2 linked regions of the Ovis aries genome follow. The protein of the gene in region 1 interacts with the protein of each later gene in a biochemical or structural test. Links are inferred from orthologs where the notes say so. Each region holds a gene or a part of one and is shown on either strand. Other genes may lie near its edges.

What was found.
Region 2: the proteins of SATB1 (region 1) and PIAS1 form a complex in vitro, tested with the Homo sapiens proteins (2 studies listed by BioGRID, with this or other methods). The link is inferred for Ovis aries from reciprocal best matches to the Homo sapiens genes SATB1 and PIAS1.

Annotation. Positions count from the first base shown.
Region 1 is NC_056054.1:276,533,244-276,539,209, forward strand, and holds part of SATB1 (DNA-binding protein SATB1), read right to left. Parts: intron 3,718-5,966; coding exon 3,541-3,717; intron 2,779-3,540; coding exon 2,652-2,778; intron 1,892-2,651; coding exon 1,768-1,891; intron 1-1,767. UniProt on the Homo sapiens protein: Crucial silencing factor contributing to the initiation of X inactivation mediated by Xist RNA that occurs during embryogenesis and in lymphoma.
Region 2 is NC_056060.1:14,946,341-14,952,306, reverse strand, and holds part of PIAS1 (E3 SUMO-protein ligase PIAS1), read right to left. Parts: intron 3,518-5,966; coding exon 3,427-3,517; intron 2,770-3,426; coding exon 2,635-2,769; intron 1-2,634. UniProt on the Homo sapiens protein: Functions as an E3-type small ubiquitin-like modifier (SUMO) ligase, stabilizing the interaction between UBE2I and the substrate, and as a SUMO-tethering factor. Catalyzes sumoylation of various proteins, such as CEBPB, MRE11, MTA1, PTK2 and PML.

The sequences.
Region 1 (5,966 bases):
GTTGCTACCATGTAACCGTTAGTTCTCACCACCTGTATCAATACTCAAGCTAGCTTCCTCTTCTCCAGCTCACAGTAAATGCCTTGAACCTTTGCCTGAATTCACTTCCCAAATCAATGGGACATTTAGTAACGTGAAGATACGTGAGATTCCTATACTGGGCCTTTATACTTATTTTTAATGCTGAGTTAGAACCTTCATTCCTAGGACATTTCAAATTTCAAATCCTAGAGGCCAAACTGACAGGTTATCTGGAGTTGTCTGCAAAAGCCAAAGCCCCAGAGATAAGGGTCACCTGCTTCATCATATCTTCCTATTGATGCAACTGTGTTTAATTAATCTAAATCATTTTTACTCGATGGTTAGAAATTCACATCCTCTCTACTCAAAGAGTGAGATGGAGAATCGGAGGAGATCCGCTAAAGGGTCAACAAGTCTTTGATTTTCAAGAAATGGACTTAACACCAGAGAATATTTCACCTGTGGCTACAAATTACTTTAAAAGAATATAAAAAGCCATCATTTATTATAAGCTTAATTCATTTGCTTCATTCCTATAATTGCTAACAAATATCAAAGTAAAGTTGATGGACCCTAATGTAGTAAACCTGAAATGCACGGAGCTTTCATGAAAGAAGAGCACGAACGCCCACAAGCTTCCTTCCAAAGGTACCCATGTGTCTCCGCAGCCATCACGTCGGAAACAAACTTGGAGCAATTCTCTACTGCAGAAATATCTACAGCGTCACACAGTTCACGCTCAAGCGCCTGAGAGGCGTGGCACTCAGGCTTCCATGCTAACCTTGCATTGAGAGAAAAACGTCAGCAAAAATTCAGCAAAAATCTAGTTAGACCAGCATCTCAAGTATACTCTCCGGTGGCGTGAGCTTCAGAGGCGAGGCCCCCGGAGAGAGGCGGCATGAAGGCACAGCAACGTCAGGACCACACAAGCTCGAAGGGCAGGCTCAGAGTGCCCTTTTCTTTTAAAATCAACTGCACGGCATCAGAAGTGATGCTCAGCTTTACAGCTAGAAACTGAGGCAGTCTCTCACCAGAGTTATCGCCCCTCCAACAAAATTCATCCTAAAAATTCAAATACGATAATCATAAATCTCCGTCTCATTTCAGAAACCCCTGACAGTATGACAGGCATCTCAGAGGAAAACGTATGACCCCACTAAAGAAAAGAAAAACAGTGGGGGCGGGAGGTTGAACCAATGGATAAAACTGGTGACAGAATCCTGATGAATAATAACTATCTAACCTTTAATTAGAGAGAAGAGATTTGTTTTCTGTGTAATTTTTTTTCTAAATTCTATTTCTTCTTCTTCTTTTTCCTTTGTGTGGTAATGAAGAAAGCACCTAGAAGCTATTCTGTTTCTTTATTCAGGTAGCATGGTGACGTTCTGCAAAGTAACACTTCCAAGGTGCTTCCTGGCATCTAGGGGTTCCAGGAAGGTACACCACCCTTATTCCCTCAAATACGGGCCCTCAGGACAACAAAGCGTCCAATCTCAGAACACTCAGAGCAGGGATCTACACGTGAGCTAGCGCAAAGTTCTGCTGAGCGGCTTTCCCTCCCCTTTCTTTCCCACACTGTCAGGATGAATCGCACACACTTCTGAAAGTCACCGGTGGTCAAGTCACTTTGCATTTTGGGGAGATTCTTGCTTCCGATACCAGCTGCTTTAGACTATGGCTTCCCACGACTCCTCCAACGAGGCTGCCCTCAATGGCTTGTCATTTAGTGCCAGCGACGCCCAGTACCTGTGAGAGGGGGCACTCCTTCGCCAAGGAGCTCTGATTCATGTCCTTCAGCAAGTCTTTCAGCGCATTCCTCACGGTGGTGTGCGACCACTGCTCGGGGGGCAGGTCTTCCAGTTTGGGGCAACTGTTGGAGACACAGAGTAGAAAGGGGATTATGACAAGATTGCATCCCGCTGCAGAACATTCCTTTAAGACAGACAGATTTCATTTTGCGCATCAAACAGATGCATCTGGAGATTGCTCTCGGTCTCCTGATTGTTCCGATTAGTTAATTACTTTATACAACACATCTGCTGTATCGATGCATGAATTATACATCAGCTGCCTGTGGTGGCTATTTTTCCATGTTACTTCTACCTTCCTGCTCGGATGCGCTTGGGAAGACAATTTAAGGTGTACTGCTTTCTCAAGAGCCATCGTGAAAACACGAACGTGGGAACCGTTTTCCCTTCAGGACTCCGCTCGTACGAATTAAGACGGTTAAAAAAAATCATATAAATAAATAAGAGCTCGGCAATAGTGAATAAGGCATTCTTTCACAAAGTGTACACAGATGGCACTGTTCATGATATGCAAAAATATTTTTCTCTTAAGTAAACTTTATGTAAAATGCCTTCTCGCAATGCATCATTTAATTGATTACACAGAAAAAGTCTTGTCTTTTGATAACCTGCACAAGTAGATGCATTTGGGGGGAACACTGCTTCTAAACGATGGGCTCAGATTAGGAAGATAAAGGAGAAAGGGGGGAGGTGGCAAAATCGATTGGGGTTAGCCTCTCTGAAATGCAGGGCGAGTCACAGCTGAAGGCTGGCCAGAGATACTTTGTTTCAAACGATCAGGTGAGTAGAACGTTCTGCGCTGGAACTGCTTTCCTGACTCACCTGTGTAGCTGAATTTTCAATGTGACCACATGATACACATCCTGAAGCATATCTGCTACCGTAGCGTCGGGGGCATCTGTCACGTAAGACAGGGGGACTGGGTTCCACTTCCCGACCTGGATCAGCCCTGTTCCAGATAAAGAGCGTGTGTCACTCAGGTCTGGCCCTTCAGATAACCTACCCACTGCCAGCCTGCTTTTCACTGCCCCCACCACAAGCAATACTGTTACTTCTGTCTGAATGATTCCCTTCCCTCCAAAAGGCAGGTCAGTGAAAATATGCTCAGCTCAGTTTTCCAAACTGTGAAATTATGTAAATGACGGTGGGGCTGTTTATTATTTTGGAAATAAAACCCCATCAATAAAACCTAGGCAGAGGCCACATTTTCCTAACTTACAGGAAGTTCTAATAAGACATAGCTGAACCAGTTCTAAATGGCTTTACGATTTAGATAAGATTCTCGATTGCAATGGGAATCAGCATTGAAAAATACTTTACAGCCCATAAAACCATCAGAAACAGAATAAAAGAAACAGAACTAGATATTCAGTCATAAATGCAAATTGACTCTCAACAGTCCATCTGCTCAGATACGCTCCTCACTTCCTTGTGGGTCCTCAGTGGAGCAGATTATTAAGGTCAATAAGCTTACTAATGATTCAGCTGAAGTAATTTAAAAAAAAAAAACCTACCTCCACATTCCACATGAGCAAAATGCGTGTTAACTAAACCAAACCGAATTAAGCCGATTTTTTAAAGCCACAGTCTAGAAGGAACCCATGTAACACACAGGCTACAGTTCTTTGAATGAAAATATTCAGATGCTTTCTCTGCAAGGTAAACAAAGGATGCCAAGCAATTCCCCCAACCCCGTGGATGCATTATTTACCTTTGGCCTGGGCAGCAGAGCTATGTGAATAACCCAGAGACAGCAAGGCCATTTCTATCAGCTGGTTGAAAAGCATGTCCTTCCTCACCAACACAAATTCTGCATGCTCCTCCTTGCAATCGTATTCAATGGCATTTTCATAATGTTCTACCACGCAGAAAACCGGGAGCATGGTTCCTATCAAGGAGACGGAGGAAAAAGAGACGCAAACCAACGAATTTCAGCAACACAGTCTGGGGGGGGGGGCGGGGGCGGGCAGGGAGGGAAAAAAAATGAAACCATGAAAATAAATCTTCACCACCACGAGAGAATGCAAGACTGGCACAGAGACCCGGGCACACAGACACAAACACACACCTTCTTTTATTCTTATTTTTTAAGTTGCAAGAGAAATGTTGAAATAGAATATGAACTCGGCCCTGAGGTAACTGGGCTCTAATTTTAACAGAGCATTTCCCCAAACCAATTAATGCAGAATTACCTTTCTGATCAAATCATAAGGCTGACAGGAGAGGAGTAAGAGTCTGGTCTGATCTGCTGTGAGTGGTACCTGGTGTGCAAATGTAACTCACTCAGCTCAGCTTCGAAAGAACCCATCTTCATGCTTCCTACATGCTTTTGTTAGGATTCAACTTTCCCTGTCTGTGTCCAAACAAATTAGCTTTGATTATAAAATTACGAGCATTCGCCTCGTTCTTTAAGATCTTCACGTTGAGGCCACAGAAGAAACACAACTTAACCCAACTGAAGTTCATAAACACAGGATTTCAACACGTGCACACTGCAGATGACTAATACTCACTTTGATGGCTACTCATTTAACCTGCCTAAAAGGACATCACGGTAACCACAGGTCTTTAAAACGAACCATCTCTGCTCTAGCAAATGGGGTAAGGATGAGAGCAAAGGAAACCGTCCTCATCAGGGTGTCTCAAGCTACAGGAATCTGCAGAGACGAGATGTGCTCTCTGTTCACTGTAATCCCAGGTAATAACTCAGGAGCCAGATGGTTAATAAACACAGGCCACACCACACCACTGTCAGCAAAGAGGCTTCTAGAAACAGAAATCACGGAACGCTGTCGTCCTCGAGGTGTTTACACAGCGCACTGTCAGACTTCCAGTGATAAACGGAAAAGGGTTAAAAGCAGATGCAGCGGAGAGCACTGTGGCACGCGGCCAGGAGGGCACCATCCTGAGCATAAATGATGACAAAGGTTACCGCGCCAGGGCACCCGGGACCCCCAGTTAGTCCTGGAACGCCAATGCCTCTCTAAGCTCTGTCCTCTGCATTCACAGAAGCCAACCAACTTCTGAAGGTATCCAGGGCCGGCAAAGCAGAGCTAAAAACCCAGGGTTTCCTCCTGACACCAGAGATGCCCTTTAAAAACGCCCTATTTGCTTGTTTCTGCTGAACAAAGCCGGCAGGAAAAGCAGGCACCGTCTTCTACATGGGCATCTACACCACAGCTTCAGTGAACTGTTCACAAGAGATTCTAGTTCTGACAAATAAACCCCTTTAGGTTTACTTAGAAAAGCTCACAAACTCATTTGGAGGGACCCAACAGGCTAGGCATGAAAAACAAGCTGTGGAGCTTGCCAATATCCTCGTCATTCATTCGGCTGTTTTTATACCAGAGAGAGAACCCGTCAGGGATCAGAAGGAGACTGGGAGAGACCACGGCAGAAACAGCAGTCTGCAAACTGGTGATTTCTCCCTTGGCTGGAAGGTACTCTGGCAGAACCTCCTAAACAAACAAACAAAAAAACCTCCAACCCCTTTCCTTGGGGTGCGCTTTCTCAACCCAGCCACACTCACTATCTGGCACCTGTCAAGCAGAAACGCTGCACGTGAAAAAGAAGATAAAACAACACCACCACCAACACAAGGCTGGAGGCATTTTGTTGCTTCAAGCAAGCAGAGAACCTTCTACAATTAAAGAGCGTTTTTAAAATGTCACTACAAATGCAATGCTTGGGGAAAAAAAAAATCGGCACTTGAGCAGGAAGTGAAATTATTGTACTTGGGTTTCTCCTCCCTCTATCCTGAGGTCTTCAAAGAGTTGGGTTACTAACACAACAAAAAACATAGGCATTGATTTTTCCTCTTATAGAATGATACAGACCTGGGCTGCTCTTTGCTGCTCCTCAGACCTGGGAGATAACTGAAGGTTTTTTAAACTGTTGAAATAAAGGAGAGTCGCTCTGGATTTTAGAGGGACCCTGTAAGATCGTTAAGGTGGCTGCTGATAAGGTGACAATCGTAGACTTTAATTTTCAATCTGACTGCTTAAATCTTCCAGCAAACTGTCATGCACTCCTCCTGATACTGTGAGTCAGGCTGCACAGGAGCCTTCTCTGAACCGATTGTTTGTGTGAGTGTTTGGCGAGGCTTCCAACTCCAGCAACTTCATAACCTTCCAGTAT
Region 2 (5,966 bases), on another chromosome or scaffold:
ACCCAGTATTAAATGTTATCTAGTTCCTCAAGAATAAGTCTTCAATGCTCTCTTCTTCTTACTTGACACATTTTCCCTGAACAAAGTCAGCCTGCTTTTATGGCTCCAATAATCACCAATATGCAGATAATACTTTTTTTTTCCTCTAGCCCAAACTCTTTTCTGAGCCCATATGCCCACCTATCCAGAATATCTTAAAGGCATCTCAAACTCTAGCCATTCTCGCTCCTTTTCAGTTTCTTGAAACAACTGGCTCTGGGGTCAGGCCAGAAGAGTGGCCTAGGTGTTTGCCCACCCCACTGGAGGTGCTGAGTGCAGGGGGTGTGCTCAGCACCCTGCTTTTGCTTGCAGCACCCTGCTTTTGCTTGCAAAACCCTGTTTTTGCTCCTGGTTCTTCAGAAGTGGCCGTGGGGTTTTTTTGGTCTTTTCATATTGTTTGTCCAGAATTTGCCCCAACTGCACATGTCCGACCCCTCAACACACCCCTACCCTCACCCTGTGTAAGGTACAAACTTATCTCCCCTTAGGGAGAAAGGAAACAAGGGAACCTGTTGTCTGCTCTTGCTCCTCCTTGCTGCGGCAGGGGACCCAATAAAGTCTTGCCTGAAAAAAAAAAAAAAAAAAAGAACTAGGCTCACACCTGCCAGTGGGCTACTCTGAAGACCATTTGCTCTGAATCTTTCACCAAACTGATTCCTTCTGCCCTTCTCTCAACTCTTAGCTCAGTCATTACATCCTCAGGGAAGCCCTGCCTGACCTCTCTCTAGTTCAAAGTGCCCGAGTATACTCTAATATCACCATGCACCTCTTCTTTATATTTCCTGTGACACCGTTCACATTTTTGTGTGTAAACTGGATTTTGGCTCCAAGTCAGGACTTTTTTTTTCTCACTATGTTACTAACAGTTTTCAGTATAGTACATGGAATATAGCATAAATTCTGCAAACTTCAAATGAATTTGTGAATATACAAACTCATATAAAATTGTAATAATCAAAAATATTCTAAAATTGTGCCAGAAAAAGAATGCTAGGCTAAAAAACAATACAGCAAAGTGCAGAAACACACACAGGATAAATAAAAATCAAATATATAACAATGGTTACTTCAGAATTAGCATTTGTCTAGTTAATGGCGTTAGAACTGGCTATTTAAAAAATTAAATTTTTATTTCACATGTAAATTTACAATGGACTAAATATGTAAAGATAAAATAAGAAATCTCAGAAGTCAAGAGAAAATATAAACAAATATTTATGTAAGATTGGGAAGGGCAGATAAACTAAATCCAACAGAGGCTGAGCGGAAAGATGATAAAGAAACAAAACTATGCAACTAGAGATTATCATACTAAGGGAAGTAAGTCAAAAAGAGAAAGAATTGCCATATGGTATCATTTATATGTGGAATCTAAAATATGACACAAACCAACTTATCTATGAAACAAACAGAATCAAGGACATAGAAAATAAACTGGTGGTTGCCAAGGGGAACGGAGATGGGAGAGGGCAGGAGCAGGAGTTAGGGATTTACAGATGCAAACCAGTATATACAGAATGGACAGACAATAAGATCCTACTGAATAGCACAGTGAACTATATTCGATAACCTGTGATAAGCCACAATGGAAAAGAATAAGAATATAAATATACATATCTATATATAACTGAGTCATATATCCTTGATGTATAGCTGTAATTAACACAACACTGTAATTCAAGTATACTTCAATAAAGAATAAATTAAAAGAAAAAAAGAAACAAACTGGTTAAAATTTGGCTCCATAATAATTTAAATCTTCTACACATTAAATAATCACATAAATGAAAAGGCAATAAACTACAAACAAACATTTGCAGCATGTGAAAGAAGGTTAAATCAGTAATGTAAGAACTCATAAACAATAAAAATAAGAAAAACAGCAACAGAGAAACAGATATTGATATATTTTTAAAATGTGAATAATCACAAATAAATTTGTTCAATCTCACTAATAATAAAAGGAGTACTAATTAAAGCAATCTAATACCACTATTTACCTATAAAAATTAGTAGAGATTTCAAAGAAAATAAAACTCAAGTGTTATCAGTCAACAGGCATATGAAAAAACACTGAAAGTCAGAGAATAAATTTTTAAAACATCTTTTGGTAAGGCAATCTGCCAGTGAACACAAAATTTCTTTAAATTCTGATGGTCTTTGATTCAGCAATTCCACTTAAGGGAATTTACTCTAAAGAAAGTACTATGCGTGTATGCAAAGTTAGAGCTATTAGGATAGTCTTCAAAATGTTCTTTGAAGTAAACAATCAAATAAATGTTCAACAATAGGGAACAGGCTAAACTATAGATACTTGTATTGAAATATGATGTAGCTGTTTCATACAGATGAACATGAAATGACATAGGAAGATGTTTATGAAAATACTTAGTGAAAGTTATCATTATAAAATATTGAATATTACAAGATCCCATTTTAAAAATGGGAACATGTTGAAAATTCACTGTGAGACAAAAAATAAATCCTTTGGTAACTCATTTTATACCCATTTTATTTATATATAAGCTCAAGTAGCCACAGAGCTTAACCCTTCCTTATAAAACAAAAGTCTGGAAGAAACAAAAATTTACTCACTCTTCCAATTTCTGCAGTCCAAGAAACAACAATGGTGTTTGGTACAGTTGTAGACAATCGGACAAGTGAGGTGATATTAATTGGTCGGCTGGGTCGCTTTGGTTCCACACCATTTTTAGTAGGTGGAAGATAACCCTAAGGATGAAATATAACATTTCTATTTATTACTTCCACAACCATTTAAACTTCCATTCCTTAAAAAAAAACAACACCCTACAAACTACATATTAGAAAATATGAGTATTTCCATTTAAAAGTGGAGAAGCAAACATTTGTAAGAGTTTTCTGTACGTTTCTCGAAACTACCCTACAGTCTCATTAAAGTAAACCTGAGAAAAATATTGGTGATAGAACGTAAAAATCTGTAAAAATTTAAGAATCATGTTGAATTCATAAACAACTTGGATAAACACATAAGGGCTATTTTAAACGTGAGCAACAATAGCCCCCACTCCTTCGTTAAATGCACAGCAGTCTTCATATCTCCCATCTACCACAAGGTTTCAGACACAAGAATACATCTGAGGTTTGATGAAACAATCTCTTCATCCCAAAATTAAATAAAATACTAAAAGCTACCACACCCAACTCCAAGTCCTAGACTATGTCTCCATAGCTAATGTCACAGCTGTTAATTGGACATAGTTGGTACAAGTGTTTCACTCAGTCACATGAATATACATCCAAAATAAAGACGTTTTCTTAATGAAAAACTATGATTAACAACAGCTGTGATGACTTATTTGCTAGCTATGTTGGGAATGCACTGGAAAAATAGCTTTTAGGACTTACTGGAAGGCTGCAAGGTTTTGTATTCACTTTCACACAAAGATTGGGTGGGAAGTGATCTTCTTGTGGACAACTGGTTTCTGATAAACAAAACCTAAACAATAAAGAACAAATTTAATTTCCTTTATTAAAAGATGATCTCATTGATATTTTTGTTCCATAGCTAATCTAAAAGATGGGCAAACTTAACAGCAACAACTATTAAAACTAGACATTTCATATTACGAATAAATGCATTTAAATAGGATCAAAATAAATAATTTTGTCAATGTAGAGTTTCAATAGTCACAACTACTAACCTGTAGTTGTCCTCATAGTATTTCCAGTCATTTGTTCAAGCATGCTGGCGGGGGTAGGGGTTGGGGGGTTGAGGTGGGGTGCTCTGGGGTTGAACACATTTAAGAAATTTTGGAGAGTAACATGGAACCTTATATTACCATATGTAAAACAGATAGCCAATGGGAATTTGCTGTATGACTCAGGGAACTCAAATCAGGGCTCTGTAACAACCTAGAGGGGTGGTGTAGGGAGGGGGTTCAGGAGGGAGGGGACATGTATATGCCTATGGATGATTCATGTTGATATTTGACAGAGAACAATGAAATTCGGTAAAAGCACTCATTCTTCAATGGAAAAAATTCAATTAAGTTTTCTCTGTACAGAACATCTCAAAGCTAATAAGGACTGTAAATTTTTAAGAGGGAAATGTATGTGTGTGTGCTCAGTCGTGTCTGACTCTTTGCAACCCTATGGATGGTAGCCCACCAGGCTCCTCTGTCCATGGGATTCTCCAGGCAAGAATACTGGAGTGGGTTGCCATTTTCTCCTCCAGGGGATCTTCTCAATCCAGAGGTTGAAGCTGTATCTCCTGTACTGGCAGGCAGATTCTTTATCACTGTGCCACCTGGGAAGCCTGATATAACATATGGTATTTCCCAAACTTATTTGTCTATAATACATTTTTTTGGTTCTCAGCAGAATATACTGAAAATGCTAGAAGTCAAGCTCCAGGATCAAGTTTTGTCCACCAAGTTCAAGTGTTCCATTAGTTCCTGAAAACTGAGGATGTTGAATAACGACATTATTTGTATTATATCCACGTGTTTAGAATACTATTTAGAAACTCACAAAAACATTTATTTCTAAATTACATGGTAATCTTTCAGGAAAAACCAAGACAGCTACATAATTTGTACACTCTCAATCTTTTCATTCTTTTTTTTTTTTTCAATTTGGCTGCACCAGGTCTTAGTTGTGGTATGTGGGATCTAGTTCCCTGACCGGGTACCGAACTGGGCCCTCTGCACTGGGAACGTAAAGGCTTAGCCCCAGGACCACCAGGGAAGTTCCTTACTCTATTCATTCTATAGATTGAGAAATAGATTAATCTGCTATTTAAGACAACAATTCTCAATTACTTCCTTGTTCCCAATATAGAGCTAAGGTTCATCCCACCTTTACAGAATGTTTACAGAACTTTTTGAGTTATATGTTAAGTATGCTATCTCTGAATTCTATGAAATATTCATTGTTTTTACACAAGTTTTACACAAGAAGCACAAGTATCTTCTCTCAATAATCTGCCTGCCATGGAATCTGTGTGAGGGAAGGTCCACAAATGGGACAATTTTCTATATAAAATTTTATGGGTACATATATGGTCATCTTTAAGCAGGGACAATCTATAGTTTCCATTACATTCTCAAAGAGGTTAGAGAGTCATAGAAAGGTTTAGAATTACCAACCTACAAAGATTTTCTCAAAATATACTTAGCACACAGATATCAACACCCACAAGATCATCTCTAACCCCAGCAGAACCTTCTATGACAGGCCAGTTCTTCACACAGCAAAAGTCAGAGGATGCTCCAGTTTCAAATCAATTATACCAACACTGTGGGAAATTAGAAACATGGACCTGGCTGCCTGAAGCCACCGAAAACCAAAATCCATGTGACAAGTTGACCCCTATTCAACTATGTGAAAAGTGAAAATCTAAATTATTCTTACAAACCAAAGGTTTTTTTAAAAAAGGAACAATAGCAGAAAGTTTCTATACAGATGTTCATGGGGGTGGAGAGGGGAAACAGATAAATGAAAACAGATTAGGAATCTAATAGAGAAAATACTGATCTTAATTCTGACCAAACTGTTTTTCATGTTTTAGATAAAGACTTATAATTAGGATAGTAAAAGGTATACACTCCAAACTTAATATCCTGGGATTGCTGTGGGGAATGGGCAGTGTAGGGATGAAAACAATTTAGCAAAACACAAAGAACCACATAATAATTCCCCAGTATAATACAAAATGGTTCTTTTTCCATTAAGTTCCGGAGATAATTTGAATTTAAAATAGCTAAGCCACTCCAGTATTCTTGTGCTTCTCTGGTTGCTCAGACAGTAAAGATTCTGCCTGCAATGCAGGACACCTGGGTTTCATCCCTGGACTGGGAAGATCCCCTGGAGAAGGTAATGGCTACCCACTCCAGTATCCTTGCCTGGAGAATTCTATGGACAGAGGAGCCTGGCAGACTACAGTC